Neurospora crassa OR74A: one gene and its partners. The protein of the gene in region 1 interacts with the protein of each later gene in a pairwise test. Links are inferred from orthologs where the notes say so. Each region holds a gene or a part of one and is shown in the gene's direction. Other genes may lie near its edges. The genes, in order: NCU01257, NCU07712, NCU02640, NCU06088, NCU03669, NCU01612 and NCU03380.

Region 1 (3,720 bases):
CTCTGCTTCATGGTGGACTCTGCACAATGGGAGCACCCACTGACAACATCCGGAGCGGTGAGGATCTTTCCTTGATGGGAATGGAAAAAACCTTTGTCAACCGGGGATATACATCCGCACACATCACACACACCATCCTTTCACATAAACGACTTTCGCTTCTTTTTGTTGGGGATAACTTCACACGGGACTACTTTTCGTCCACACGGAGCTTTCCCTCTTCAATTTTCGACACTCAGGCAACTCACCTTATCTTTCTGGACCCTTTCTCTCTTTTGTCGTTGATTCGACACCAAACACCCTTTGCGGACTGAGGACATCGCCGGCGGGAAACGATGCAGCAACTTCTCTTTGGTTCACACTCTTCGGCAAACGTCACCTGGGAGTCGGCGGACTCACACCTTCCAACCTCAACCTCTTCCATCTGCTGGGAGGGAGCTATTTCGCGACATGCTTCTCTCTTTTGTTGGGTGGGACTTGCACGGGCTTGGGTATGGCGCTTGGTTCACCACTCCTTTTTCTTTGCGCACTTTCTTGGAATTTTCTTGGATAGGACTGTAGAGGAGGGAAGTCTTCCTTTCTGTCTTGGCAGGGAGGGGGGACTCGCGGGATGAAATTTGTGGAGGGGGAGGACCATGTGGGGAGTTTTCACTGTATCTTTCTGATCTTGGTTTGCGGAGGGGAGGGATTGTGGGGGTGAGTTGGCTTGGTTGAAGGATTTGAAGAGTGTTAGTTCTTTTAATAAAAAAAAAACCCCGGTTGACACCATATCTTTGGATGCTCTCATGACCGTGACTACCTCTATGATTGTGAATTTCATTATCATCGTATGCCTCTTCGTAAGACTTTTCAGAGCAACTGACTTTAGTGATAAAGCTGTCAACTTGCAAATGGAACGCTTGATCGATCATCAAGGCAAGATACGCGGAGGAATGGCCTCGGCTCCGAGAAAATATACTACATCCCATTACATGTATCAGCTCGACGTCCCAGACATATTTCTGATCTGTTTCGGCCAGGTTAGGTTCGTGATGTTTGCGCGGGACAAGGCTCCTCCACTGAACGCGAAGTTTGATGTATCAGGAGACTCGTGTTGAATCACCTTGACACAGGCTGCGGGTAGCTTACGAGAAACTGGGCAGAGATACACAGGGCATGGTGATATACACTAGCAATCAATCTTGAGATCACCGAGAAAACGCAGTTCGGTGGGTGACCATCACCGTGACTACAGGCCCATTGTAACTCGTAACCTGAGGGTTGGGGTTTGATGTGCCAGATTCAGAGAGAGTGTGAAGGGCACTTCCAGGAGCTGGGCTGTGGATACCTCTATGCCGGGCGCCAAGCATCCACATTTGGGTCCGCCTCCGACCCACCAGGCTTATCTTATCGGGTAATGGCAGCCGCCATGTCAAAAAAAAGTTTCCAGAACTGCAAGCGCTGCCGCTTCTCGAGCTCATCATCCAAATCGATTGTACAGCAACCCCACATAATCACAATGCCGCGACAGTCCACCCGCACAAAAAAGCCGGCCACCAAGGCTCTTGAGGCTGAGAAGATCGAGAAGATTGTTGAAGAGAAGCCCCAGAAGGAGCAGAAGAAGCGTGGCAGAAAGCCCAAGCAGGTCGTCGAAGAAACCCCTGTAGAGGACAAGATGGATGTCGAGGAGGAGCAGAAGGCGGAAGAAACCACCACTCAGACCAAGGCCGACGAGAAACCAGAGCAACAGGAAGAGGCCGGTTCAGATTCTGAGGAGGGTAGTGACGACGAAGAGGACAACGATCTCGATCTTGATGCACTTGACGAATCCGATTCCGACTCAGAATTCGAGCGCGACCTGAACGAGAAGCAATCCGCCGCCGGCATCCAGGCAAACAAGTACCAGAAGGCCGCCGAGGAATCGAGCGACGAGGAGGAGGACGAGGATGAGATCGACATTGATGAGCTCGACGTCGACGGAGAAGAAGGAGAGGAAGTCAAGGCCATTTCGAGGGCGCGCCAGACAATAAACAACAAGCAAGGTCTCCTGACGGCGCTCAAGCGCTTCGCCCTCGACACAACCGACAAAGTCCCATTCGCCTTCCACCAGTCCATCGTTGCCAAGAAGGTGACGGAGGAGTCCATCCCCTCGATCGACGACGACCTGGCCCGCGAGCTGGCCTTCATGAACCAGGCGCTCGAGGCCGCCCGCGTCGGCCGCGCCCTCCTCCGCAAGGAGGGTGTCCCCTTCACCCGCCCTACCGACTACTTTGCCGAGACGCTGCGCAGCGACGAGACTATGGAGAAGGTCAAGGCCAAGCTTATCGAGGAGGCCACGGCCAAGAAGGCCTCGGCCGAGGCGCGCAAGCAGCGCGACCTCAAGAAGTTCGGCAAGCAGGTGCAGGTGGCCAAGCAACAGGAGCGTGCCAAGCAGAAGCGTGACACACTCGAAAAGATCAATCTTCTCAAGAAGAGTACGTGCCTCTCCTACCCTTCTCCTTCCCCTTCCCTTCTTAATTCCATAACAAGTTCTCTTCCTCTTCCTTCCCCTCCCCAACTTGATGATAACTGAAGCCAACTAACCTCCGCCTCCTTAAATAGAGCGCAAGGACGGCGGTGGCCCCACCGGCGCCAACGAAGCCGAAGACCTCTTTGACGTTGCCGTCGACAACGAGCTCAAGGGCGGCCCTGGCGGCAACAACAGCAAAAAGCGCGGCCGCGACGGCAAGGAGGGCGGCGGGCCCAACGCCAAGAGGCAACGGAAGGATGCCAAGTTTGGCTTCGGCGGCAAGAAGAAGTACGCCAAATCCAACGACGCCCTCTCGTCGGGCGACGTGAGCGGGTTCAGTGCGAGGAAGATGAAATCGGGCGGCCCAGCAGGCGGCAAGCCCAAGAAGTTCAAGCCTGCGCCTAGGCCTGGTAAGGCTAGGAGAAAGGCGGGGGCTGGAAAGAGGTGAAGTGAGTAAGCTTCACTGTGGCAGGAGCGAGAAGAAGCAGTGGAAGTGAAGAGCGGTGTCGATGCCATGATGGGTAATCTGTTTAGTTTCCAACCTAGTACAACAAAAGGTCAGCACGGCAGGTTGGTGACAAAGGTGGTAGTAGCGTGTATGAGTATACATCATCATGGGACCGGTCATACAACAAACATCATTGAAGGATTCAGATCAATTCAGTAGCCACTACCTTTACTTAGATACCTAAAGAGTTCTTTTCATGCCTTACAGTTTGATGGTGTTACCCGCTTGGCTCAAAGGTCCTTTTCTCATATCATTCATCTTGCAGAATGGCTATATCCGTTCACCCGAACAAACGGGTTCCTTACTTTCACCTTCATTCAAAGGCCCCCGATGTCGGCTCGTGAACAAAAACAAATCTCGGTCACTACAGTTTGTGAGAGTATCATCCTGTCACGGACGAGCCGCGCAAGGGCCATCGCTACTTTAAGACTAGGTACTTCAGATACACTAATACACGAGACATCCCCCTTTCACTCCTCGAACCCGCATGGTAAGGGGTTTGATGCGCAACACCATCGTAACGCCTGCTTGCTGCTATTCATCGAGACGAGCCTAAACCCAAACCCAGATTCAGACCCAAATAGACCTGGGAAGACCCATAACCACCAACGCCAGACATAGACCCGCCTTTCCTGAAGCTACAAGCAAATAGAAGAAAGAAACAACAACACAAAGAGCGGCTCATCCAATTCAACCCCACCGCTGTGTGGGATTAGGACGAAAA
Region 2 (4,058 bases), on another chromosome or scaffold:
AGCTTTGCGTGTAAACACCCCCATTCCTCTAAACCCAAGAAAAATGGCTTCCTTCGATTCGTTGTAAGCTCCGCTACTGCATCGTTGATGAACACATCTTGCAATTGCCGTAGTTGAATATTGCTGCGCATGCTCATATGAAAGAGCATTGCAGGTTCTTCTTGCTCAGCCAATAGGCTTCAACTTCTTTTTCTTTTTCTTATCCGAATCCCCAGACTTGCCCTTTTGAAACGCGCGCCAACTATCGATGCGCTGGTCTCTCGTCTTTTCCCAGTCCTCTTCGTGCTGCCTCTTGCGCTTGCGCTGCTCAGCCTCCTCGTCAGCTTTCCGCTGCTCGCGGCCTTCCTCCTGCATCTGCGCCTTGAGCTGTCTGCGTCGTCGCTGCTCGTTCTCGATCAGCACAAACTTGGTCTTTTCCTGCCACTTCTTTTCAAACTCGGCCGTCTTGAGCTCAGGGCTGTCGACCGTCCATTTGTTCTCGCGGATCAGCAGCATGCGCGCGTCCGCGATAGCTTCGTCTAGGTTCTTGCGGTGCTTCTCCTCCATTAGCTCCGTTTGCGCCTTCTTCAGTCTATCGAACGCCTCAGGCGCCAAGGGGTTTTTGGTCTTGTCGGGATGGATCAGCAGGGACTTTTTGCGGTAAGCAATCTTGATGTCGGATTCGGTCACGCCGGGCTTGAGGCCGAGGACTGAGTAGGCGTCGAGCCGGAAGGCTTTCAAGATACGGTCGATCTCGGCATCCTGTCGGAATTTAGATTGTCAGCAACTACTGAGTTGGGGATGTAAATGTTGGTATAGTTGGGCGTGGTTGTTGTCTGGCTTGCCTTCTCCCACTCCTTGGCTTCAGATTCCAGCACTTCAAGCGCATCCCGAGTGTCGGCAGGAGTTTCGTCTTTGACGTCTTTAACGTCCTTCACGTCCTTAGTGTCTGTCGCCATATTGTCGCCGGAATGGAGGGTCAATCTGGATGCTTGTTTGATCAATTACAAAGGGTTGATGGATAAGTAAGTTCGGTCTACCAAACGGAACGCAACTCCGGGGAAGTTTAGGGAAGTTCAGTAGTTGCGACTTGCGACACCTCCAGGAGCGCGGAAAGCACAGCTAACGCACGCCAGCGCTGCCAAGGCAAACCCACGGGCATGCAATGGGTGTACTTGATAAGCTGATAATGGATAAATGTCACATTGGCCCCACTAAAAAGTCGACCATCCAAAATTTACGGGTGACGGGCAGGCATTGATGGCTACAGTAGACAAGAGACCCCAAGACCCCATCATCATCACCAACCTAAACTCCAACCCACCCCGTCCGTCTTTGCATCTTCAATTAGCGATTCGTGCTGCAATTGGCAGCAACACAACCCTCGCTCACCATGCCTAGACGCGCAGCGTCCCCCACACCGTCCGAGAACGAGGTTGACATCGCGGGTGCTTTGTTCAACAACGACAGCGACTTCGAAGACAACAGCAGCAAGCACCACACCAAGAAGGGAGCTGTTACGAACAGCGGGCTTGACCTCGATTTCAACGATCTTCTCGGTAACGGCGATGATGGACTACCTAGCTTTAATGGCGAGGGCGATGATGACGAAGCCTTTATCGCTTCGCTCACACGGAGCTCGCAGAGAAAGTCCTCCAACATTCAGGGCAAATCAGTCAAGAAGGGTGGAGGTTTCCAGGCAATGGGTGCGTAGTCTTCCGTCCCATGGCATAAGTTGATGATGCTTGGGGCAGCTGCTGATACTCTCCTAGGTCTAAACGCCCATCTCCTCCGAGCGATTACCAGAAAAGGCTTCTCCGTCCCGACCCCCATTCAGCGCAAAGCGATCCCCCTGATTTTAGAAAGAAAAGATGTGGTCGGCATGGCCAGAACCGGTTCCGGAAAGACTGCAGCTTTCGTTATCCCCATGATTGAGAGGTTGAAGGGGCACAGTCCACGTGTTGGCTCGAGGGCGCTCATCATGTCTCCCTCGCGTGAACTTGCGTTGCAGACCCTCAAGGTCGTCAAGGAACTCGGCAGAGGTACCGATCTAAAGACCGTATTGCTCGTCGGTGGTGACAGCCTAGAAGAACAGTTTGGTATGATGGCGTCGAATCCCGATATTATCATCGCCACACCCGGTCGTTTCCTCCATCTCAAGGTTGAAATGAACCTCTCTTTGGCCTCCATCAAATACGTTGTCTTCGATGAAGCTGATCGCCTCTTCGAAATGGGTTTCGCTACTGAGTTGACCGAAATTCTTCACGCCCTCCCTCCTTCCAGACAGACGCTTCTTTTCTCTGCGACGCTCCCATCGTCCTTGGTCGAATTCGCCAGAGCCGGTCTTCAAGAGCCAAGCCTTGTCAGGTTGGATGCCGAAACCAAGGTGTCACCCGACCTCGAGAGTGCTTTCTTCGCAGTAAAGGGAGGTGAGAAGGAGGGTGCCCTTCTCCATCTTCTCCACGACGTCATCAAGGTCCCGCTGGGTCCGCCCGAGGGCACAAAGGAAGAGAGTGACGAATTGCAGGCGAGGAAAAGGAAACGCGAGTACAGGCCCAATCCTAAGGAGAAGCCGACGGAATACTCGACCATCATCTTCACAGCAACGAAACATCACGTCGAGTACATTGCGAACCTGTTGAAACTCGCAGGCTTTGCCGTGTCCTACGTTTACGGTTCGCTTGACCAGACGGCCCGTTTGATCCAAGTTGACAACTTCCGTCGGGGAAGAACACATATTCTCGTGGTTACCGATGTCGCCGCCCGTGGTATTGATATGCCTGCTCTCGCCAACGTCATCAACTACGATTTCCCATCTCAGCCCAAGATCTTTGTCCATCGTGTTGGTCGTACAGCTCGTGCGGGTCAGCGTGGTTGGGCCTATGGTTTGGTCCGTCAGTCAGACGTACCATATCTACTTGATCTACAGCTCTTCCTGGGAAGGAAACTTATTATCGGCCACGATCAGAAGAACCCTTCCTTCGCGGCAGACGTCGTAGTTGGAACACTAAAGAGAGATGGAGTGGATGTTAACATTGAGTGGGTTGAGAAGGCGCTCAAGGAGAGTGCCGATCTCAAGGCGCTGAAGGGTGTTGCCGCAAAGGCCGAGAAGCTCTACATGAAGACGAGGAATTCTGCGTCGAGCCAGAGCGCAAAGAGAGCCCGCGAAGTTACGCAGTCCAGGGGCTGGACACAGCTCCATCCTTTGTTTGGAGAAGAAGCCGCTGAAGCCCAGGCAGCTCGCGATGATCTTCTCAGCAGGATAAACCGCTTCAAGCCCCAGGAAACCATCTTTGAACTTGGCCCTAAGGGCAAGTCTAGCCGCAATAAGGCCGCGGAAGTTGTACGAAACATGCGTTCCAGATTCAAGGAGCGCAAGACTACCAACGACGAGGATGATGAGGACGTGGACATGGAAGATGCCGAGGGTAAACCTGACGGCGAGGAGACCAATGCGTTCGAAGACTTTGAGGATGAGGAAGAGGAGGGAGAGGCGGAAGAGGCAGAAGAGGCGGAAGCCAAGGAAGACCCATACGCCGACGACTCGGATTCGGAGATGGAGGTTACAGTATCCAGCAGCATGCATACGAAGAAGAAGGGTGGCCCGGTCAACTTCCAAGACCCCGAGATCTTCATGTCCTACACGCCTCGCACCACTAGCCTTGCGGAGGAGAAGGCTTACGGTGTTCACTCGGGCGGCTACAGCGGCAACAGCTTCGTCGAGGCCGCTCGCGACGCTACCATGGACCTGACCAACGACGAGAGTGCCAAGAACTTCGGTCTGCCCACGAAATCCAAGATGCGTTGGGACAAGCGTCACAGCAAGTACGTGGCGGTCGCCAACGATGAGGACGGCTCCAAGGGCGCCAAGATGATTCGTGGCGAGTCCGGTGTCAAGATTGCCGCCTCGTTCAAGAGCGGCCGCTTCGACCGGTGGCGCAAGGATAACCGTCTCGGCAAGTTGCCCACGATTGGCGAGACGGAGAAGTCGCAGCTCATCCGCAACTTCGGAGCCCAACCTGGCCAACCGCGGTACAAGCACAAGATGGAGAAGGCGCCCAAGGATGCGGACAAGTTCA
Region 3 (2,684 bases), on another chromosome or scaffold:
GGTGTCACGTCAGTGTTTGTGCGTCGGATGAGGCTCAAGAGGAGGGAATCAGCATACTTGAAGGCAAGCTCGAAGCGGACCTGGTCGTTGCCCTTGCCAGTGCAGCCGTGGGAGACGAACTCGCAGTTGTATTGCTCGGCAACGCGGACCTGGGCACGGGCAATGATGGGGCGGGCGAGGGAGGTGCCGAGGAGGTAGCGGTCCTCATAGATGGCATTGCACTGGATGGCACGGAAGACGATCTGGTCAACGAACTCCTGCTGGAGGTCGAGGATCACCATCTCCTCAGCACCGAGCTTCTTGGCCTTGGCGCGGACCTCATCCCAGTTCTCCTCCTGGCCGACATTGGCGAGGAAGCAGACGACGGTGTAGCCCTGTCGAGTCACTCGGGTTAATATTACAGCTCGGGAGGGGAGCGCGGGGGTTGGTTGGTTTTCTCTACCTGCTCAATCAACCAGCAGAGGATGGTCTGCAGTCACAGATGTCAGTCAATGCGCTCTATAAGATCAGAGGGAAGCTTCAGGAGGACTCACGGAAGTATCAAGACCTGTATACGGTGATCAATTGGTGAGCAATTGCATTCGTGGCAGGCGGATCTCTTGTGTTGTATAGCTCCAGGATCGTACCTCCGGAATAGGCGCTATGAACGGGAGGGACTGTCAGTCAGGCGTCAAAGCTCCAGAATAGCCTGTGCCACAAGTGGAATCACCAGACGTTATTCAACACTGCTCTGGGTGTTACTTACAGACAGACGCGGCCCTTGGACTCAGACATTTTGGCGGATTGGTGCTTGCGGAGGATGGCTACTCTCGACAGTTACAGTTCCTGAACTTGATCTTGTAAGAAAGACAAAGGCGATATCGGGCGGCAACTCGAGGCTTTTTATTAGTGTCTCCCACAGCGTCAAACAGTCGACTGAGTCACTTTATCTTATCACTGCGGGGCAGACCCTGGGATCCAACGTCAGTCACCATCAACATGAGACCAGGCACATCGATGCCGGAAGCAAGGGTGACGAGGGTCCGCCCCGCAGTTTTAACGCCTGTTCTCCATACTACGACCCGCTCAGCGATAACGTTGCAACGACAGGCCCGATAACCAATTCTGCCGTCCAAATTTTTCTGCTCGAGTGCGACCGCATTCACTGACCGCCTTTGGTAGTTCTGCGTCTGGCATCGCCGTCACAACGCTCTGCATCAAACCCAGCTAATGCACGGATTGCTGGTCGACTTTAACGATTCGCAACAATGTCCTCTACTACCACAACAACACAAACAACGTCTCAGGTGGAGACCAAGGCGGTTTCCAAGCCCCTTGGCATGAGGGTCAATGGTAAGTCTTTGTCCGTTACGTTCTGCCATCCTAGGTCGAATGAAGTACTAATTGCCATTATCCTACAGGAAAGCAATGGCACGCCCCCAAAAAGGCCTTCCGTCCCGGCTCCGGGTTGACATCGTATGAGAAACGCGCAAAGGAGAGGCAGTTGCTTGCGGCTGTCAAGGCTAAGGAGAAGGAGCTTAAGGATGAGAAGGAGGCTGAGCGCAAGGTTGGTGCAAATACGAATCCGGGAGACAAGATGCCAGGGGCTGATCCATCATTTCCACACAGAGACGCATCGAAGCCCTCAAGGAGAAGCGGGCAAAGAAGGAGGAGAAGGAACGTTACGAGAAGATGGCCGAGAAGATGCACAAGAAGAGGGTGGAGAGGCTCAAGCGCAAGGAGAAGCGCAACAAGCTTATCAACTCTTGAACGAGGAGGCTGTGAACGGCACTCAGGACATGCGGAACACCACGTCTCACTCCTTTCCGTCCAACGATGGGTACCGAACCGAATCACCGGCCTCGCCGTTCTACCAATGCCCGAAAGACGAAAGCCAAACCCCCTTCGCAGCGCGGCGTCTTCCTCGGCAAATATGATGGTAGCGGCGTTACTTTATTTTGAATGAGTGTCTATAATGGCATGGCATAATTGGAGTTGGAAGTTCGCAGCAGCCACGGAAGGCCGTGGTTTGTCAGGAAGAACTCAGCGGACAGGGCGGATGGATGAGAAACAACCCGGAAAAACAACGCCAAAAAGAAAGGCGTACATCAATGACTAGGTACTGCGGGTGATAAGGGACCACAGCAATATTCTGATACCCCAAGCAATTCTTACACGGAACATAACAAAAAGCTTACCATTACCATTCTTGGTGGCTTTGCAGCCACTTGAAACCCATCTTCCAGGTGATTCTCTTCTCGTGACAAACTTTGGTTGTGGTTATTTTGCTTCAGTTCACATGTCCAGTGAAGCAACCCCTGCACAGGTTGGATAGGTTCCGCGAAAGGATCGTTAAGGCAGCCGGCTTCCCGTCACCGGGCAGTGAGTGCCATTGGTCCCCTGCGCCGCGTCCCCGCCGCGATGCACCTCTGTGAGTCGTCGCAACGTCAGTGGCCCCGTCGACTTTAGGTACATCCTGGCTTACACCTCCACTTTTTGCCTACCCGTAGAGGTACTCTAATCTGGCGTTATTACGCATCATTACACTTTGGTATGTCTCGGAATCACCAGATAAAGCGCGATAAAGAAAAGGAAAGCCGCTCGAGTGCCGTCATGTTTCCGAACGCCCCGAATGGAGTCGAAGGGCTCAAAGGAGGATCCCACTCTCCACATCGTCAGCGACACCAAATCACTCGCTCCATCAC
Region 4 (4,289 bases), on another chromosome or scaffold:
GACAAGTTGAACAAAGGCTCACACGACTGACGAGGCCATGGAACTTGTGTTCCCTGTCGAGTGGTGGCAACTGCGGTGAGATATCGGGGGCCGAATAAGATAGGTGATGATGCGGAGGCTACGTATGTAAGAATTGGCGTGGTTCCTGCAGTCGAGGATGCGTGTATACTGTTTCCGTACTGTAGTAGTATGCTGTGCGTTGATGCGGGTGGTTGCAAACGATGTGCCAACCCACTGTTTTGTCGATGTTTTTGTCTTGTTTTGTTTTGGTTTGTTGTGGAGTGAGAGTAATGGACAGCCCAAGCGAGCGATGCCCTGGCGTCGTCCCGATACCACCTCTATGATTGAATGGTTGAAAGGCGTGCAGTTCTCACCAAGCCACTGGAGGATTGGCGAGTTTGGAGGCCGGAAATGCAACGACCTCGTTTCCTAGGTAGAGGTAGGTATGAGGCGAGGGAGGAAGGTGAGCTCGAGGGGGTTGCTGCACACCACGGAAGAGGAAAGGTGAAGTTGCCCTCAAGGGAAGTGTGAACTCAAGCCACTGGAAATCTCGGGCGGGGGACGACCTGCCTGCCTGACAACTGACAAGGGCTGCTGCGGTCCCGTCTCGATAGGTAGGCGATACCCGACCTCTACCTCTAGTCTAGGGCCGGTGAAGGGCAGGCAGGCACTGCAAAAATTGGTGGTGAAATGGCCGGGCAGGCACTTTTGCCGCAGTCCACCAGACCCCCAAAAACCAAAGGTTCCAGTTGCCAGTGCAAAGAATGGGAGAATGGAGCCGATCCACGCCTTCCCGCCCCCGTAAAACGACCCAAAATCGCCTGGGGTGGCAGGTTTCCAGAAAATGGAAGGGAAGCGCGTACCGCGTCGTTGCCCCCGCGACCAGACTGTGCCAGGCGACATGCCTGTCAATCGCTGATCCATCCGATCCATGCGGGGCATTCAGGGGCATCCAAGCAATGCCGGCTTTGTTTGTGCACAAAACAATGAGGTGGGGAGGCGTCGTCCACCTAGGGATTTACCCTCACTCTACAGTAGGTAATGTCTTGATGGTATGTATCCCATGTGCTTCTGATCACTCAAAAATCTGGAATTGGACTGTGTGAATGGCAACAATTCTACACACCATTTGATGAGACTTCAATGCAAGTCAATGGGGGTATTTCACCGTGTAAACATGTCACTTTCCAGATCAGAGAGACGGTTCCTACTGCGCGAGTATGTAGAGGTACCTCCGAGTAGGCTCGTTACACTATAATGGTAGCTCCTTACCTACTGGAGGTCCTAGTTGAACTAACAGCTCGACCACAGAGCTCGTCGCCAAGACATGGAACGCAGTGCTATTCTCCAATCAAACCCCATCCAAGCTGCAACCACTTAAACAGTTACCAGCCCTGACAGCGTCTAACGTTAGGTACCTGTACAAGTAAACCTTATCGGTAGGCTAAGTCTTGATACCCCACTGTCCCCAGTTCGCTGGCCGCTTATCGAAAAATTCCATCCCAACCGCCAAAGGGCAAGTCCCGTACGTGCAATTCACCTGTTGAAATACGTACCTTGGTCTTCACCAACCAACACAACAAGTACAACCATCTCATTCATCTCCCAAAATTACTGATCTACACCTACTCTTCATCATGCCCAAGACTCTCGAAAAAGCACGCAAGGCCATTGCGAAGAAGAGGGGCGGTGCCATTGAAGCCCTCCACGCCAAGAGTCGTGATTCCCGCCGTCTTCACAAGGCCCAGGTTCGCGATGATCGTCTCGAGAAGATGTCCGAGGCCAGGCGCAAGAGGGACCAGCCTTTGATCACCCGTATCGCCTTCTTCCAAGAGGCTACTCGTGAAAATGAGAACAAGCCGCTCGAGCTCTCCGCCATCCAAAAGAAAATTGCCGAGTGAGTGTGAACTGCGACTGTGCCAATATTGGTGGGACCATCTCTAACCATCCACCCAGATTCTGCCATCAACATGATGAGGAATATCACGAAATGAAAAGGGCTCGCCGTCAGGGCAGGCCGCCCAGCGCCAGGGAGGATCTTTTGAGGATGAAGATGGAGGCGCTTCACAAGGAAGAGCGTGATGGTTTCTGTAAGTCCTTTTCCCATTGTTTCTCTTCGTGGGACAGCTTGTCGCTGACCAATTTACAGACCTTCCCGACCTTACCAATGAAAAGACCACCGAGATGTTGGATCGGTGGGATGGCAACTGGGCCTTTCTCACCAACCTCACATGGGTCAAAATCCAGTCCTCAGGAAGATCCGCGCCTGCCAGCTTCCCTCCACAGACCAACTGAGAGCACATCGCCCCTTCTTTGTTTCTGACCTAAACACGGAGATATCCAGGATCAGCGAGGCAGCTGGGCCTCAACAAACATTAATGATACCCCTTTCCAGCCCTTCAGTTCCAGTCCCAGTTCCCCTTGAACGACAGCCGGCTACTCCACCCGTTTCCTCCGTTGCTTGTCACCCTGGTTAGATGCCATGCATCGTGCTGCAAAATAAGACAGCGTTTCACCTTTGCCAAACCGCCAACCTGCAGCCTTAAGTTTTGGCCGTGTCCACTAATGATACTGAAAGGCGGGCAAGACAGACATTTATTCATCCCTCACGAGCCTCATAAAATCAATCTGTCACAAGCCACTTTATCCTTCCTACCTGACCCTGGTCCCGCAACCCGTACCTTGCTTGCTTACTACACCTCAACAAAAGCGGCTGCTGCCGTGACCCCCGGGTTCGATTATCGCTGTGCATACAAATTGCAGTTCCACCTCGTCCAAGCACCAGGCACCAGGCACCAAACCGCTCTCGGGCCCGAACCGAATGAAAGAGGGCTGAAGGGAGAAGATTCGAGAAGGAGGTGGGTGGAGTGAGGGCAACGTGTTAAGGACGCCATTTCATGGCTGGGTCCAGTTACCGACAGCCTGTCCCAGCCGGCCAGTTCAAACTCCCCGTCAGCTCGGACAGTTCACCAGTTAAGGATAGAGAAGAGGGTTCATGGGAACCGGGAAAGAGAAAAGAAAACATGTTTCAGAGCAGCCGACGGCTGTGCCCTGGAAAGGCTTGCTTACAGGGCTGCAGGTCTCCTACCATAAGACCACGTGTGAGAGACATACCGGTAACAAAAAGAGAGAAGAGGTAGAAGTGTGGAAATTGAAGAGATGCATTGCTTCTGGAACCCGTCATGAGTCCTGCATATAGAAAGAAGGACAAAAAAAGCCCACTTTACACAAAATGTTTTACTACTCCCACAACGGCAACGCCCGATTCGACGATTACTTGCCTCCTTATCCCGGATCTTATTTTTAATCGTTTTCAAGGTGATCGACAGCAACCCGAGTCGTTCAAATGCTTCTTGATTCAACACCTTCGCTCGGGAGAAGCTGCCAGTTGATGTTGTACAACTTACGTGCTCCTCGTGGGCATAACGCAGCCGACAACGCCAAGGTAGACCCTATTTTCCCCTGATTCCTCAACTCCCCCCCTCCACACCCAAGTTGTTGCGGGCGGAAACAGTCAGACTCACCGATATGTACCTGAAAAGCAGGTAGCCGTGGGCGGTTTGGCCTTTTCCCCCCTCCTTGACTGTCCTTTGGCTGTCCTTCGCTGCCCCCTGGCTTTACCGGTATTCCATATGTCCTGCAAGTTGCCATGGACCGGGTTCGGGGCCGGTCTCTCCGGAGTTCGGAGAGTTCTGCCTAGGGTGCTCCTGGGAAATTTGCTGGACTCGGAGCGGCTTTGGTGTTCTGCTTCCCTATAGGGTGGGATATGATGGCAATGAGGGTCGAAATTTGATACTTGGCTGTGGTTTCAAGTTTACTTCCAAGATCAAAAACATTTGGGCATCTTCTTTGTTTTTTTTTTCTGGTCAATCTACCTGTCAACGTACTATTCTAGAGAACCCGCCTCATGTGTGCGTGTTGTTCCCCTTTGCCGACCAGTTAGTCGCCTCTCCATCTATCCGTCCATCTTTTGTCACCACTACTCGAATCTGTCGTTGACATTTCCCCTCATCTTGTCCCCCTTCTCTTTCTATCTATAGGGAGACATACAACCTAACACAACTTCTGTCCATTCATCTTCCCATGAACTTGATTCACCTAGCTAGCTATTGGTGTACCTTGGCGGTTCGGGCTGCCTGCGCGCTTGGGGTTCGTGCTTCCCCTCCTTTTCCTCGCCCCATCCTTCAGTCTTCTTTCTTCCATTCTCCGGCTAGCTACCTGCACATGTAGTAATCCACAAGGAGCGGGAAGATCGAGCCAGTCGATGGAAATACCGCGTAGATAAATTA
Region 5 (4,258 bases), about 1.4 Mb from region 1:
GGGTAGGTGGGATACGTGCGATGCCTCAGCCCTCTTGGGTGTTGAAGCATGAGTGATCTTTCGACGCTTGGAGCTTCTCTGGCCATCCTGAAGGCTCGGTAACACATCTGGGATTTCCTCTTCCGAGATGGGCCTGAGAGGACTGGATGGAGTATGAGATCGTTCTATGAGAGGACCGGCTAGATCACGAAGAGCTCTTTGGGAAGCGCTGGGGTGGTTATTCGCTATGACTCGGGGAGTAAAGAAGCGCCTGAATTTCCGGGGGGTGATGGACGGGTTTCGACGTTCCTTGGCTGCGCTTCGCGGAGGAGGAGAGGACGGAATGGGGGGAATGTTGTTGCTGGTGTTCAACGACGACGAGCTCTTAACTCCCAAAGGGGTTGAAGTGCTGTTGGAGTTATCGGCCATGGCGAAAGGATTCTCTTCGACTACCAGAGCGAAGAGCTGGGTCCAGGCCGCTTATGCAACACGATACCTAGAGACGATGTACACGGGGCCGGCGACGCTGGATGCGCGCGACCTGGCAGCGAGGGGCCGCCGATGGCAAGGGTACGCGGAGACAGAGAACAGGCTGTGGTGATGGATATTTGTACAGAATCAGTTGAGCAACAGCTGGCGCAGAGGTATTGCTGGCAAGTGTCGACTGGATATTGGACAAGGGCTGACGTCGAAGTTGCAGGCTAGGCTGTGTGCAGCAAGCAGGCTGAGCTTGAAGAAGGACGGGAGGTCGAGGTCGTCGTTGAGAGACAAGGTAGGCGGCCGGGGGGGGCGTAAGGTATTGGCGCCGAGTTTATTGGTTGGCGGATTTGGTCGTAGTAGTATGGGTCCTCTGAGTGAAGTGGTGCGGCCGGAAGGGGTATGTCTATGTCGGTTTCTGGTGTAAGTGTGTCCTTGGTAGTATGGACTTGAAATTGAATGCGTAGGTGGAGATGTGATGGAATTGGATTTGGTTGTTCGTTTCTGTTGTGGATTTCCCTTGCGTGGTTCAGTTCCTAGAAGTACCTACGCTTTTGCTGAGTTCCCACTTGAGTACCTAGGTTTGCCGGGCAACCAAATCGACAGCCATGGAAACCTGACCTGACCTGGCCTGACCACCCATGGACTCCATTGAACACCTCCTCCAGTGGGCAGAGGCTGGGCGTGCGGTCCGTAGCGGCCGGGGGTCGGGGGGGAGGCGCCTAGAAGGAATGCGGTTTAGTGCTCCATCAGGGGAACGCGAAGACGCGGGAACAAATGACGCGCTGCATCGCGAAAGCTTAATGGCTTTTTCGTCCCATAAATCGCGGTTGCTGAAGACATGAAGATTGGTCAATGCACTGCACTTCAACCGCGGGATGTCTGGCCCACCCTGATGGGGCCCGTCTTGCTCGTTGCCCCACCAGCCGCCGGAGTCCAGTCTCTTATCGCTTATCGCCCTGCAGCTGTCATCCAAAAAAATCATTCTGCAACGACGACCCTGCAATCCCTGCGCTGCGAGTGCTGGAGGGAAGAACAGTCAAAGGGCACCCGGACTGCCATTTTCACCAACCCAAAAAAGTCACCAGGTCGTCCTGCTCAACAACACCAGTCGGAAACACCCCCCGACTTAGAGCACCGGCACCATGGCGATCCAAAAGAAACACGGCAAGGGCCGTCTTGACAAGTGGTACAAGCTTGCCAAGGAGAAGGGTTATCGTGCCCGTGCCGCCTTCAAGCTGATCCAGCTCAACAAGAAGTATGGATTCCTCGAGAAAAGCAAGGTCGCTCTCGATCTTTGCGCTGCGCCCGGTGTAAGTCATAGTCGTGAACATCCAGTTTATCATGGAGTGAACTAACCATGTCTGTGTCCGTCCCTAGTCGTGGTGTCAAGTCTGCGCCGAGACTATGCCGACAAACTCCATCATCATCGGTGTCGATCTTGCTCCCATCAAGCCCATCCCCAAGGTCATTACCTTCCAGAGCGATATCACCACCGAAAAGTGTCGCGCAACCATCCGCTCCCATCTCAAGACATGGAAGGCCGACGTCGTTCTTCACGATGGTGCGCCCAACGTCGGTACTGCTTGGGTCCAGGATTCGTACAACCAGGCCGAACTTGCCCTGCACTCGCTAAAGCTGGCCACCGAGTTCCTTATTGAGGGCGGTACGTTCGTCACCAAGGTGTTCAGATCCAAGGACTACAACTCCCTTCTCTGGGTTTGCAACCAGCTTTTCGCCAAGGTCGAGGCTACGAAGCCCCCTTCGTCCCGTAACGTCTCCGCCGAAATCTTCGTCGTCTGCCGCGGCTTCAAGGCCCCCAAGCGCATTGACCCCAAGCTTCTCGACCCCCGCTCCGTTTTCGAGGATGTGGCCGGCCCCGCCCCCAACAACGAAGCCAAGGTGTACAACCCCGAAGTCAAGAAGAGAAAGAGAGAGGGTTATGAGGAGGGAGACTACACCCAGTTCAAGGAGATCTCTGCCAGCGAGTTCATCAACACTGTCGATCCCATCGCCATTCTCGGCCAGTACAACAAACTCAGCTTTGAGCAACCCAAGAACGGCGATGTAGCATTGGCTGCCCTCGACAAGCTCCCCGAAACGACCGAAGAAATCCGTCTCTGCTGCGCCGATCTCAAAGTGCTCGGCAGGAAAGAGTTCAAGCTTCTCTTAAAATGGCGTCTAAAAGTACGGGAGATCTTCGGCTTCCCCTCCAAGAAGACCCAGAAGGCAGCTGTGGACGAGGAGGTTGCGGTAGTGGAGAACATGGATGAGGAGCTTAGGATCCAGGAGGAGCTGCAAAGGATCAAGGAGAAGGAGACCTCCAAGAAGAAGCGCGAGAGGAGGCGCGAGAATGAGAAGAAGCAAAAGGAGATTGTCCGCATGCAGATGAACATGACTGCGCCCATGGATATTGGTGTGGAGCAGGAAGGTCCCCGTGGTGAGGGTGCCATGTTCCGTCTCAAGACTATCGACCAGAACGCTGCCCTGAATAAGATCGCCAAGGGCAAGATGGCCGTTATCAAAGAGACCGAGAAACCGAAGGATTACGACTTTGGCTCCGACGGCGAAACCGACGAGAGCGACGAGGAGGCCGATCGTCTGGAGGAAGAGCTCGACAACCTGTACGATCAGTACCGGGAGCGGAAGGCGGCGGCCGATGCCAAGTACCGTGCCAAGAAGGCCAGGAAAGAGAACGGCGACGATGAATGGGAAGGCGTATCTGGCGATGAGGAGAAGGGTAGCGACGACGATGACGATGAGGAACTAGAAGTGGACAGCAGTGATGATGATTCCGACTCAGAGGATGGTGAATCTGGCAAGAAACTTATAACAGATCTAGACGGCCAGCCAGAAGAGAAGGATGGTCTGTCCAAGCGGGCCAAGAACTTCTTCAGTCAAGGTATCTTTGCGGAGATACCAGGACTTTTGGAGGAGCCAGAATCTGAGGAGGAGGAGGCTCAGGAGGCTGAGCTTGTTGAGGCTGTGGAGGACCTCAAGGTTACCAAGAAGGAGAAGAAGGAAGCCAAGGAAACCAAGGCCAAGAGCAAGAAGGCGGCCGAGGAGAGCGATGACGACGACGATTTCGAGGTTGTCAAGAACAACGAGGATGACGACTGGGAGAACGTTGAGAAGAAGAAGAAGAACGGCAGGCCTGGTAAGTTTCACTCAGTCCCTCTTCAGTATGACCTGTTAAGGGCAATGGCTGACTATGACAACTACAGACATCGACATCATCACCGCCGAGGCCATGACCCTCGCCCACCAGCTCGCGACCGGCGAGAAGACAAGTTACGACGTCATCGACGACGGTTACACCAAGCACGCCTTCAAGGACCGCGACGGTCTTCCCGACTGGTTCCTTGACGACGAGTCCAAGCACGACAAGCCGCACAAGCCCATCACCAAGGCCGCAGCGCAGGCCATTAAGGAGAAGCTCCGGGCCTACAACGCCCGTCCTATCAAGAAGGTGGCCGAGGCCAAGGCCAGGAAGAAGTTCAAGCAGGCCCAGAGGCTGGAGAAGCTCAAGAAGAAGGCCGATATGCTTGCCGGTGACGATGGCATGTCAGAAAAGGAAAAGGCTGCTAGCATTTCGAAGCTCATGGCGTCGGTTGCTAAGAAGACGAGGAGGGCGCCTATCAAGGTTGTCAAGGCTGCTGGTTCCAACAAGGGTCTCCAGGGCAGACCTAAAGGAGGTTCGTACTATCACTACCTTAAGATCTGGTGTGTTCTTTATGTTGGAATGATGCTAACTCGGTTTTTTCAATTTTATAGTCAAGGGCAGGTACAAGATGGTGGATCC
Region 6 (4,210 bases), on another chromosome or scaffold:
GAGCCTCCTGAATGGCACGTGCATACTGAGCAACGGCACGGCCATCGTCCTGTCTTGGGCCGGGGATAATGATGGTCCTGGAGCCGCAGAAGTTGGCGTAGGCGAGCTCGAGGTTCAGCACCTGACGGGAGATGTCTGAGATGATGGGATCGGCAGAGCAGAGGTCGATCCATGGGCTGGCATAGGCGATGAGCGAGCCAACATAGCTGCTGGGAAACAGGGATGTATCGTCGTCAGTCAAGGTAGGAACCGTAGGAAGTGGCAGCGACGGGTTGGCCTTTTGGGCGTCAGTGAGTCCCCGTTCGGTGACCCACTGTTCCCGTTCTTGGAGATGGCTCTTGTACAAGTCGATCACGCGCTGGTGAAAGTGCTCGTTGGTGATGGGGGTGGTGACAAAGTTGAACTATTCTCATCTCATGTGTGTTAGAATTTATGCTGTTGCTCGTTCTTCTTTCTCTTCCTACTTTAATGTAAGGAAAGACTTACACCACTGTCCAAGATCTGGCCGTACTGATTGTCAGTGGGCGACTCATGTCGTTGGACATCATGCTGGCCAATGTAAAAGGGCGGCCGTTGCTCGAAAGACTCGGACTCGGGGTTAAACCCGCGATTTGAAGACATGATGAGTGAGTGACTGGACTTTTATGTGAATCCGAGTGAGTGAAAGAGAGTGGACGAGACTAGAAGTAAATAACCCCGCGATGGTCCAGGTTAGGTTTGAGGTGGTACGAACAGCAGCGGGAGGGGTACGGAGAAGGTAGCTATACTAGTCTCTGGGGCCTGTATACAGTAGAAGAATGTATAGGCTGTACTTTGATGAGGTATCGGACCCAATCACAGGGAAAATTGTAAAGACTGAAATCAAAGTTGGATGGTACTTTTTTTTTATTTTTCCCAAAACGGACTGACCCCATGGCAGTGGATATTTCCAGGGAAGAAGCACCAGAGGAAAAAGTCCAACCTCAACGGTCACCAACTCGAAATAAACAGGTATGGAGGGGTATAGATGGATAGGTACATGGAAAATGAAATAGCTGAGTGAAAGAAAGATTGCACACAAACCCAATGCGCCAAAAGTCACAATGTCACAATGTCACAATGTCACAAACTTCATCAACCTGCCTGCATTTTGCCTCTTTTTTTCTTTCTTTTTTTTTTCTTCTTCACGTGCAGCAGGAACAAACTGAGTGAACCTGACAGTTACAGAACAGTGTAGAAAATTACCGTCTTAGTGCCCATCAGGGTCCTGTCCAATGCTACAGTGATTTGCTTATCAGCGCTTGCCAAAGACACTCCTTACTCCACTGAAGCTTATCACTGTGACCCCTCATTGGTCGAGAGTCGCTGCGGCCAGGAACTGCCGGCCAGGTCTGACCTATCGCCCTGACATCAAACAAAAAAAAAGTTGTAGCCTCGCATGCCTGCCCACTGCCCTCCCCTCCACTCTGTTTCGCTGTTGTTCATCACTGCCACTGGAGGTGCCATAATCGACACTCCGCCTTCTGTTTTGCCTATCGCCGCTTCTCTTCTTCCCCTTCAGTTCGGTCTTCTTGTTTTGTTTCCTAGTACCCACCCCTCTCGCTCGAAGAAACAAGATATAAAAAAAAGGCCAGCTGCCCTCGGTCGGTACCACAATGGCCAGCCACGACGACAAAGGCGTCAAGAGATCCAACATGGACGGCAACGACCAGGACTCAAAGCGCATCAAGCGTGCCGAGAATGGCGATGCTGCCCCCGAAAAGTACAACCCCTACCTCGCCCATCTCAACGAGGACGGCAACGGCAACGGCACCAATGGCGACTTCGAATCGCCCCTCGACGCCTTCGAGAGGCACAAGACCACCGCCGCCCAGGCCGCCCAGGCCGAGGACTCGGAGCTCAACCCGTGGACCGGCCAGCCGCACTCGCAGAGATACTTCGACATCCTCAAAGTGAGGCGCGACCTCCCCGTCCACAAGCAGCGCCAGGAGTTCCTCGACATGTACCACAACACCCAGATCCTCGTCTTCGTCGGTGAGACGGGTTCCGGAAAGACCACCCAGATCCCCCAATACGTCCTCTACGACGAGCTCCCCCACACGAACGGCAAGCTCATCGCCTGTACCCAGCCCCGAAGGGTGGCGGCCATGTCGGTTGCCCAGCGTGTCGCGAACGAGTTGGATGTCGAACTGGGCCAGGAAGTCGGTTACAGCATTCGTTTCGAGAACCGGACCGGCCCCAAGACCATGCTCAAGTACATGACGGATGGTCAGCTCCTGCGCGAGTCCATGCACGACCACGACATGTCCCGCTACAGCTGCATCATTCTCGATGAAGCCCACGAACGTACCCTCGCGACCGATATCCTCATGGCCCTGCTCAAGCAGATCGCCGCCCGCAGGTCAGACCTCAAGATCATTGTCATGTCTGCCACGCTCGATGCCCAAAAGTTCCAGTCCTACTTCTACAACGCCCCATTGCTCGCCGTCCCCGGTCGTACCCATCCCGTCGAGATCTTCTATACCCCCGAGCCCGAGCGTGACTACCTCGAGGCCGCCGTACGGACCGTCCTCCAGATCCACGCCACTGAACCCGAGGGAGACATCTTGCTGTTCCTTACTGGTGAGGAGGAGATTGAGGATGCTTGCCGAAGAATCAGCTTGGAGGTGGACGACATGATTCGCGAGTCGGATGCTGGCCCCATGAAGGTTTACCCTCTTTACGGCACTCTCCCTCCTGCGCACCAACAGCGCATTTTCGAAAAGGCCCCCGAGCCCCTGCGCAAGGGTGGCAGGCCTGGTCGCAAGGTCATTGTCTCGACCAATATTGCCGAGACGTCCTTGACAATCGATGGTATCGTCTACGTCGTCGACCCCGGTTTCAGCAAGCAAAAGATTTACAACCCCCGCTCTCGTGTTGAGTCTTTGTTGGTTTCTCCTATCTCGAAGGCCTCTGCTCAGCAAAGAGCTGGTCGTGCTGGTCGTACACGGCCCGGTAAATGCTTCCGTCTTTACACCGAGAAGGCTTTCAAGAAGGAACTTATTGAGCAAACCTATCCTGAAATTCTCCGATCCAACCTGGCCAACACTGTTCTGGAGTTGAAGAAGCTTGGTGTTGAGGATTTGGTACACTTTGATCTCATGGACCCTCCTGCGCCCGAGACCATGATGCGCGCCCTGGAGGAGCTTAACTACCTCGCCTGCTTAGATGACGATGGTGAGCTTACGCGTCTCGGTGGTTTGGCTTCCGAGTTCCCGCTTGACCCCGCCCTCGCCGTCATGCTTATTTCGTCGCCCGAGTTCTACTGCTCCAACGAGATCCTTTCCATTGTGTCCCTCCTCTCCGTCCCTTCGATATGGGTACGCCCCAACAACGCGCGTAAGCGGGCCGACGAGATGAAGATGCAGTTCGCCCACCCCGACGGCGACCACCTGACGCTGCTGAACGCCTACCACGCCTTCAAGGGTGCCGAGACCAATGGCGACGACATGAAGCGCTGGTGCCACGAGCACTTCCTCTCATACCGTCACCTGTCGAGCGCCGATAACGTCCGGGCTCAGCTCAAGCGTATTATGGAGACGCACGACATTAGCCTGGTCAGCACGCCGTTCCAGGACAAGAACTACTACACCAACATCCGCCGCGCGCTCCTGGCTGGCTTCTTCATGCAGGTGGCCATGCGCGAGAGCAGCAACAGCAAGGTGTACAAGACGGTCAAGGACGACCAGCTCGTCATGATCCACCCGAGTACGTCGGTGACGAGCCCATACGACTGGGTCGTCTATAACGAGTTCGTTCTCACAACCAAGCAGTACGTCAGGACAGTGACCAACATTCGTCCTGAGTGGCTTCTTGTACGTATTCCCCTTTTATGAATTCCCTTTGTCAATGGCATCTTGAAACTGACCTATGTAAACCAGGAAATTGCCCCCGTCTACTACGACCTCGATACCTTTGAGAAGGGCGAGATAAAGTCGGCGCTCACTCGTATCACCGACAAGGTCAAGCGGAGGCAAGCCATCAAGGGCAGCGGCAGCGCGCGTTAGTGGCGTTGTAGAGACAGGAAGAGAAAGAACAAGTCTTCTTCCGCTGCTGCTGTGGTAGCTGATGGTAGTGGTCGTTGTGAAGAGACCAAGGATACCGAGAAAGAGAAGCCGAGTCGCCCGCCGCTCGTACACGTTACGGAGAACATCGCCCGCACCGGTGCGACCTCTTCCGCCGGGAACAGCAA
Region 7 (3,955 bases), on another chromosome or scaffold:
AGGGTATCTTGACAGCAAGAGGAAAAAAAGATGTGCAAAGCAGGAAAAAAAAGAAACTGTACCCGTACTCGGTGGCTGAGGTGGCACGTTACCCTGGGCTGGACTTGGTTTAGGATCCAGTGATGACGATCATAGACGAATGACAGTGGTTCGGTGTTTGTGAAGAACAGAAATTTCGGCTGTTGCGGATGCCCGGCCATGAGTGCGAGTGGGAATCAGCCGGCGCGTGTCCTGCGTTGCGCTTCAGGTGGTTGCACCGGGCTCCCCAGCTCACTGCCCTGGTCCGTTACCCCAATTGCGGCAAGGCGTGATGACATTGGTGGGTGGTGGCCTTTCAAGAGCAGCAACAGCACACAGCGACGCGACCTTGCATGTGACAACAGGAAGTTGAGACTGAACTGAAGGAAGACGGTTGGGCGTGAATGCCGCCATTTTCAGTTCATGCCAGGCGTTGCTCGATATACCTATACCATAGTATATTGCCGTGCCTTGTTGAAAAGAGACTTTGTACTCTGCTCAACCGTTGACGTTCATCACCTTGGTCGATCTCGGTTGATGGGGATTTCTTTGTACACAATCTCCTCATCATGTAAAAGTGGTTCAAGCGTTCTTAGCATGTTTGCCTATCATGGACTTGAGCAGACGGCCAGTCGTCAAACAAGGTTGGATGAAGACGACGTAGACTTCAATTTTGGGAGCCACTGGAGCTTAGTCGAGCTGAATATTGACACCTTCAGTTGTAGCATTACACTACCTATACCATGTAAGCAAATAAGATCAAGCCTTTGTCAGGTTGCCGTGGCTGCGTGGGTTCTTCGATGAGACCCACATTCCAATATCTGATAATTGCACTAGTAACAACAGACGATCGTGAAGATCCGAAAGCTGTCTATTGATATTCACGATACAAAACGGCTTGAGCGCACATCTGGGATATAATTAGTATAAGTCGTGAGTTGTCCAACGAATTTCTGAAATCTAATGGGAAGATCTTTAGGTTTGGACCGATCAAATTGGATTCGAAAGAAGTGAAGGCTGCTGTGTACTGTATGCAACTTGCGAGGTTACGCTCACGCTAGCTTTATCGATAGGCAGATAAGATAAGGATTGTTTGGATGGTCGCCAGGCCAATTTTTGTTTCAACAGCATCGCACTGCTATCACCACGGGCAATACGCAGAGCTTCAGGGATCGATTACAACGCCCCGATACTCCGCCAACCACATAATTAACATGGCGCCTACCCAACCACAGACTAAGGTCCGGAAGCCTCCAAGGTCTTGGGACGCTCTCACGCCTCCTCTCGCCCAATGGATTCTTGACTACCTCTCCTCCATGGGCTTTACCCAGCCGACTCCCGTTCAAAAGTCATGCCTTGAGCTCTTCCGTGGAAATAAAGATGTTGTCGTCGAGGCCGTAACAGGCAGTGGAAAGACACTTGCCTTTTTGATTCCGGTAGTTGAGGTAAGCCGGATCTCTTGCTGTCTACCAGCTCAGGATGATCATATGCTAACCGATTCTGCAACAGAAACTCCTGCGCGGCGAAGAACCAGCCAAGCGAAACCATGTCCAAGGCATTATCATCTCGCCCACCCGCGAACTTGCAACCCAGATTTACAATGTCCTCGTTTCCCTCGTCAAGTTTCACGAACCCTCCGCTGAAGCCATTTCCCACGCCAAAAGCGACGAGAAGCGCCCAACAGCAACCCAGCCTGTCGTTGTCCCCCAACTACTTGTCGGAGGCACCACCAAGGCTGCTGAGGATCTCGGTACATTCCTTCGTCTTTCCCCGAATCTCCTAATTGGCACTCCCGGCCGTCTTGCCGAACTCTTGTCGAGCGCATACGTCAAGGCTCCCGCGTCTACATTTGAGGTTCTCATTATGGATGAGGCCGATCGCCTTCTCGATATGGGTTTCGCGAACGAGCTCAACCGCATTCTCGGATATCTTCCGAAGCAGCGCCGTACTGGTCTTTTCAGTGCTTCGCTCAGTGACGCCGTTGAAAGGCTGATTACAGTTGGTCTATTGTACCCACACAAGATCACCGTCAGAGTGAAGAGTCTGAAGGACGGTGGCATAATTCAAGAGAGGAAAACACCAATGTCTCTACAGATGAGCTACCTTGTTACCCCAGCCAGCCAGAAAATGCCAGCAATTGTCCAGCTCCTCGAAAAGCTCGAGCCCAGGCCCCAGCGATCCATCATCTTCTTCTCTTCATGCATGGCCGTCAAGTACTTCAGCCGCATTCTCGGCGCCGTCCTGCCCGCCGGTTTTTCCGTCACCTCCCTGCACGGCAAACTCGAACCTAAAGTCCGCGAAAAGAACTATGAGCGTTTCGTCAACACCACCTCGCCCATGGTCCTCCTCACCACCGATCTTGCCGCCCGCGGTCTTGATATCCCCCAAGTCGACCTCGTTATCCAGCACGACCCGCCCACGGACACCAAGGTTTTCATTCACCGCTGCGGTCGTGCCGGCCGTGCCGGTCGTCGGGGTCTCGCCGTCGTTCTGCTCCAGCCGGGTCGCGAGGAAGGCTACGTACAGCTTCTTGAAGTCCGTCAAACTCCCATCACGCCCCTGGAGAAGCCCGCCATTTCCGTCACCCCTGATGAAGTCGAGCGCGTCTCCGCCGCCTTCCGATCGCAAGCCCTCGCCGACCGCGAGATCTTCCAGATGGCCCAGCTCGCTTTCGTTTCCTGGACGCGCTCCTACATCGAACACCAAGCTTCTTCCATCTTCCGCATCGCCGACCTCGACTGGCTCGACCTAGCCAAGGGCTACGGCCTTCTCGAGCTGCCCAAGATGCCCGAAGTCCGCGAAGCCAAGATCGACCGCTCTCTGGGTCTGGGCATCAACACGGAAGAAATTCCTTTCAAGGACAAGGTGCGCGAGAAAAAGCGTCAGGAAGAGCTGGCCAAGTGGAAGGAGGAGAAGGCAAAGCGGGCACAGGAAGAGAATACGGGCGACAAGCGCAAGAAGAACGAGGCGTGGAGCGGCAAGGCGGAACAGGAGGAGACGAAACTGCAGAGGCGCGAGAAGAAGAGGAGAAAGAGGGAGGCCAAGAAATTCAGCGAGATGACGGAGAAAGAGAAGGAGGAGCATCTCAAGCTGGAGCAGATGATTGAGGAGGTGAGGAAACGGAACGAGGCCAAGGCGGCGGAGGAGAGGGCAGCTGCGCTTGCGGCGAACCCACCCAAGCCGAAGGCTCCGGTGAAGAAGGTGGACGATAGTGATGAAGAGTTTGGTGGGTTTGATGATTGAGTAGCTTCTTGGGTAATGGGAGTTGATGGTAATGGTTCATTTTCTAAGACGTAAAGGCGTATGAGGCGTATATACCCTTTTGATGAATTGGAATTTTGTTGGTTCTTGGCATGCTGTATCCATGAGTCCTCATGGTAATCATGATAATGGGTGTACTCGAAAAGTACAGCTGTTTTGCCTGAGACAATATCTATCATAACACCCAAATGGAGACACAGTATCGATATCACAAATGTTCTCGAAATTCGAGACATTGTGGTAACAAAGTGTTCGTATGAACAAACCAAACCAATGTATTCAGTCCACTACATCACACCTTCAGTATACTCTTGCTCGCATGCATGCGTCTTGATTTTATCTTCTAGGCAATCTTCAAACTCCTTCCTGAACCAAATAATCCCTAATAGACTCTGGACGGCGTGGTTCCAAGTCATAAGGAGGCATATCACAGCCTTGCAACGGCCTTCCTTCCCTAGTAGGATGGATAACGTTGAAGTGTCCATGTTCGGTTTTGTTCTCTCAACCACACGCCGGGTTAACATGATTAGAAGTGGGACAAGGTTTTGCAGTTAATTGAATCTTTATTGTCTGAGCTGTAAGGACCATCATGTTCAGAGAAAAACATGCATTGTACCGGAACCAAATTCGATGTTCTCATTCATCAGTATGCCTTTGACTGTGATTCAGGCGAAGA

The links.
Region 2: the proteins of NCU01257 (region 1) and NCU07712 interact in binary tests that used the Saccharomyces cerevisiae proteins (3 or more experiments, as listed by UniProt). The link is inferred for Neurospora crassa OR74A from reciprocal best matches to the Saccharomyces cerevisiae genes EBP2 and DBP10.
Region 3: the proteins of NCU01257 (region 1) and NCU02640 interact in binary tests that used the Saccharomyces cerevisiae proteins (3 or more experiments, as listed by UniProt). The link is inferred for Neurospora crassa OR74A from reciprocal best matches to the Saccharomyces cerevisiae genes EBP2 and CGR1.
Region 4: the proteins of NCU01257 (region 1) and NCU06088 interact in binary tests that used the Saccharomyces cerevisiae proteins (3 or more experiments, as listed by UniProt). The link is inferred for Neurospora crassa OR74A from reciprocal best matches to the Saccharomyces cerevisiae genes EBP2 and TMA16.
Region 5: the proteins of NCU01257 (region 1) and NCU03669 interact in binary tests that used the Saccharomyces cerevisiae proteins (3 or more experiments, as listed by UniProt). The link is inferred for Neurospora crassa OR74A from reciprocal best matches to the Saccharomyces cerevisiae genes EBP2 and SPB1.
Region 6: the proteins of NCU01257 (region 1) and NCU01612 interact in binary tests that used the Saccharomyces cerevisiae proteins (3 or more experiments, as listed by UniProt). The link is inferred for Neurospora crassa OR74A from reciprocal best matches to the Saccharomyces cerevisiae genes EBP2 and PRP43.
Region 7: the proteins of NCU01257 (region 1) and NCU03380 interact in binary tests that used the Saccharomyces cerevisiae proteins (3 or more experiments, as listed by UniProt). The link is inferred for Neurospora crassa OR74A from reciprocal best matches to the Saccharomyces cerevisiae genes EBP2 and SPB4.

What each region holds. Positions count from the first base shown.
Region 1 is NC_026505.1:3,393,320-3,397,039, reverse strand, and holds NCU01257 (hypothetical protein), read left to right. Parts: upstream 1-1,442; 5' UTR 1,443-1,498; coding exon 1,499-2,453; intron 2,454-2,580; coding exon 2,581-2,936; 3' UTR 2,937-3,220; downstream 3,221-3,720. UniProt on the Saccharomyces cerevisiae protein: Required for the processing of the 27S pre-rRNA. Probably involved in the step of the processing of the 27 SA precursor into the 27 SB intermediate.
Region 2 is NC_026504.1:2,109,937-2,113,994, forward strand, and holds the start of NCU07712 (ATP-dependent RNA helicase dbp-10), read left to right. Parts: upstream 1-1,258; 5' UTR 1,259-1,372; coding exon 1,373-1,685; intron 1,686-1,751; coding exon 1,752-4,058. Other genes in the region: NCU07713 (DnaJ domain-containing protein), read right to left, coding at 166-741, 825-938. UniProt on the Saccharomyces cerevisiae protein: ATP-binding RNA helicase involved in the biogenesis of 60S ribosomal subunits and is required for the normal formation of 25S and 5.8S rRNAs.
Region 3 is NC_026501.1:3,023,072-3,025,755, forward strand, and holds NCU02640 (hypothetical protein), read left to right. Parts: upstream 1-1,213; 5' UTR 1,214-1,247; coding exon 1,248-1,332; intron 1,333-1,400; coding exon 1,401-1,546; intron 1,547-1,608; coding exon 1,609-1,749; 3' UTR 1,750-2,184; downstream 2,185-2,684. Other genes in the region: arg-1 (argininosuccinate synthase), read right to left, coding at 58-374, 443-469, 534-547, 627-640, 746-774; NCU02641 (hypothetical protein), read left to right, coding at 2,533-2,684. UniProt on the Saccharomyces cerevisiae protein: Involved in nucleolar integrity and required for processing of the pre-rRNA for the 60S ribosome subunit.
Region 4 is NC_026507.1:1,853,803-1,858,091, forward strand, and holds NCU06088 (hypothetical protein), read left to right. Parts: upstream 1-1,489; 5' UTR 1,490-1,637; coding exon 1,638-1,897; intron 1,898-1,956; coding exon 1,957-2,090; intron 2,091-2,149; coding exon 2,150-2,295; 3' UTR 2,296-3,861; downstream 3,862-4,289.
Region 5 is NC_026505.1:2,021,227-2,025,484, forward strand, and holds the start of NCU03669 (AdoMet-dependent rRNA methyltransferase spb1), read left to right. Parts: upstream 1-1,458; 5' UTR 1,459-1,601; coding exon 1,602-1,769; intron 1,770-1,836; coding exon 1,837-3,613; intron 3,614-3,680; coding exon 3,681-4,151; intron 4,152-4,230; coding exon 4,231-4,258. Other genes in the region: NCU03668 (WD domain-containing protein), read right to left, coding at 1-408. UniProt on the Saccharomyces cerevisiae protein: Required for proper assembly of pre-ribosomal particles during the biogenesis of the 60S ribosomal subunit. Specifically methylates the guanosine in position 2922 of the 25S rRNA at the stage of 27S pre-rRNA maturation.
Region 6 is NC_026502.1:2,956,782-2,960,991, forward strand, and holds the start of NCU01612 (pre-mRNA splicing factor ATP-dependent RNA helicase PRP43), read left to right. Parts: upstream 1-1,410; 5' UTR 1,411-1,634; coding exon 1,635-3,833; intron 3,834-3,899; coding exon 3,900-4,025; 3' UTR 4,026-4,210. Other genes in the region: pp-2 (protein arginine N-methyltransferase HSL7), read right to left, coding at 1-403, 487-621. UniProt on the Saccharomyces cerevisiae protein: Pre-mRNA processing factor involved in disassembly of spliceosomes after the release of mature mRNA.
Region 7 is NC_026502.1:904,126-908,080, forward strand, and holds NCU03380 (ATP-dependent rRNA helicase spb-4), read left to right. Parts: upstream 1-1,155; 5' UTR 1,156-1,232; coding exon 1,233-1,463; intron 1,464-1,527; coding exon 1,528-3,261; 3' UTR 3,262-3,572; downstream 3,573-3,955. UniProt on the Saccharomyces cerevisiae protein: ATP-binding RNA helicase involved in the biogenesis of 60S ribosomal subunits. Binds 90S pre-ribosomal particles and dissociates from pre-60S ribosomal particles after processing of 27SB pre-rRNA.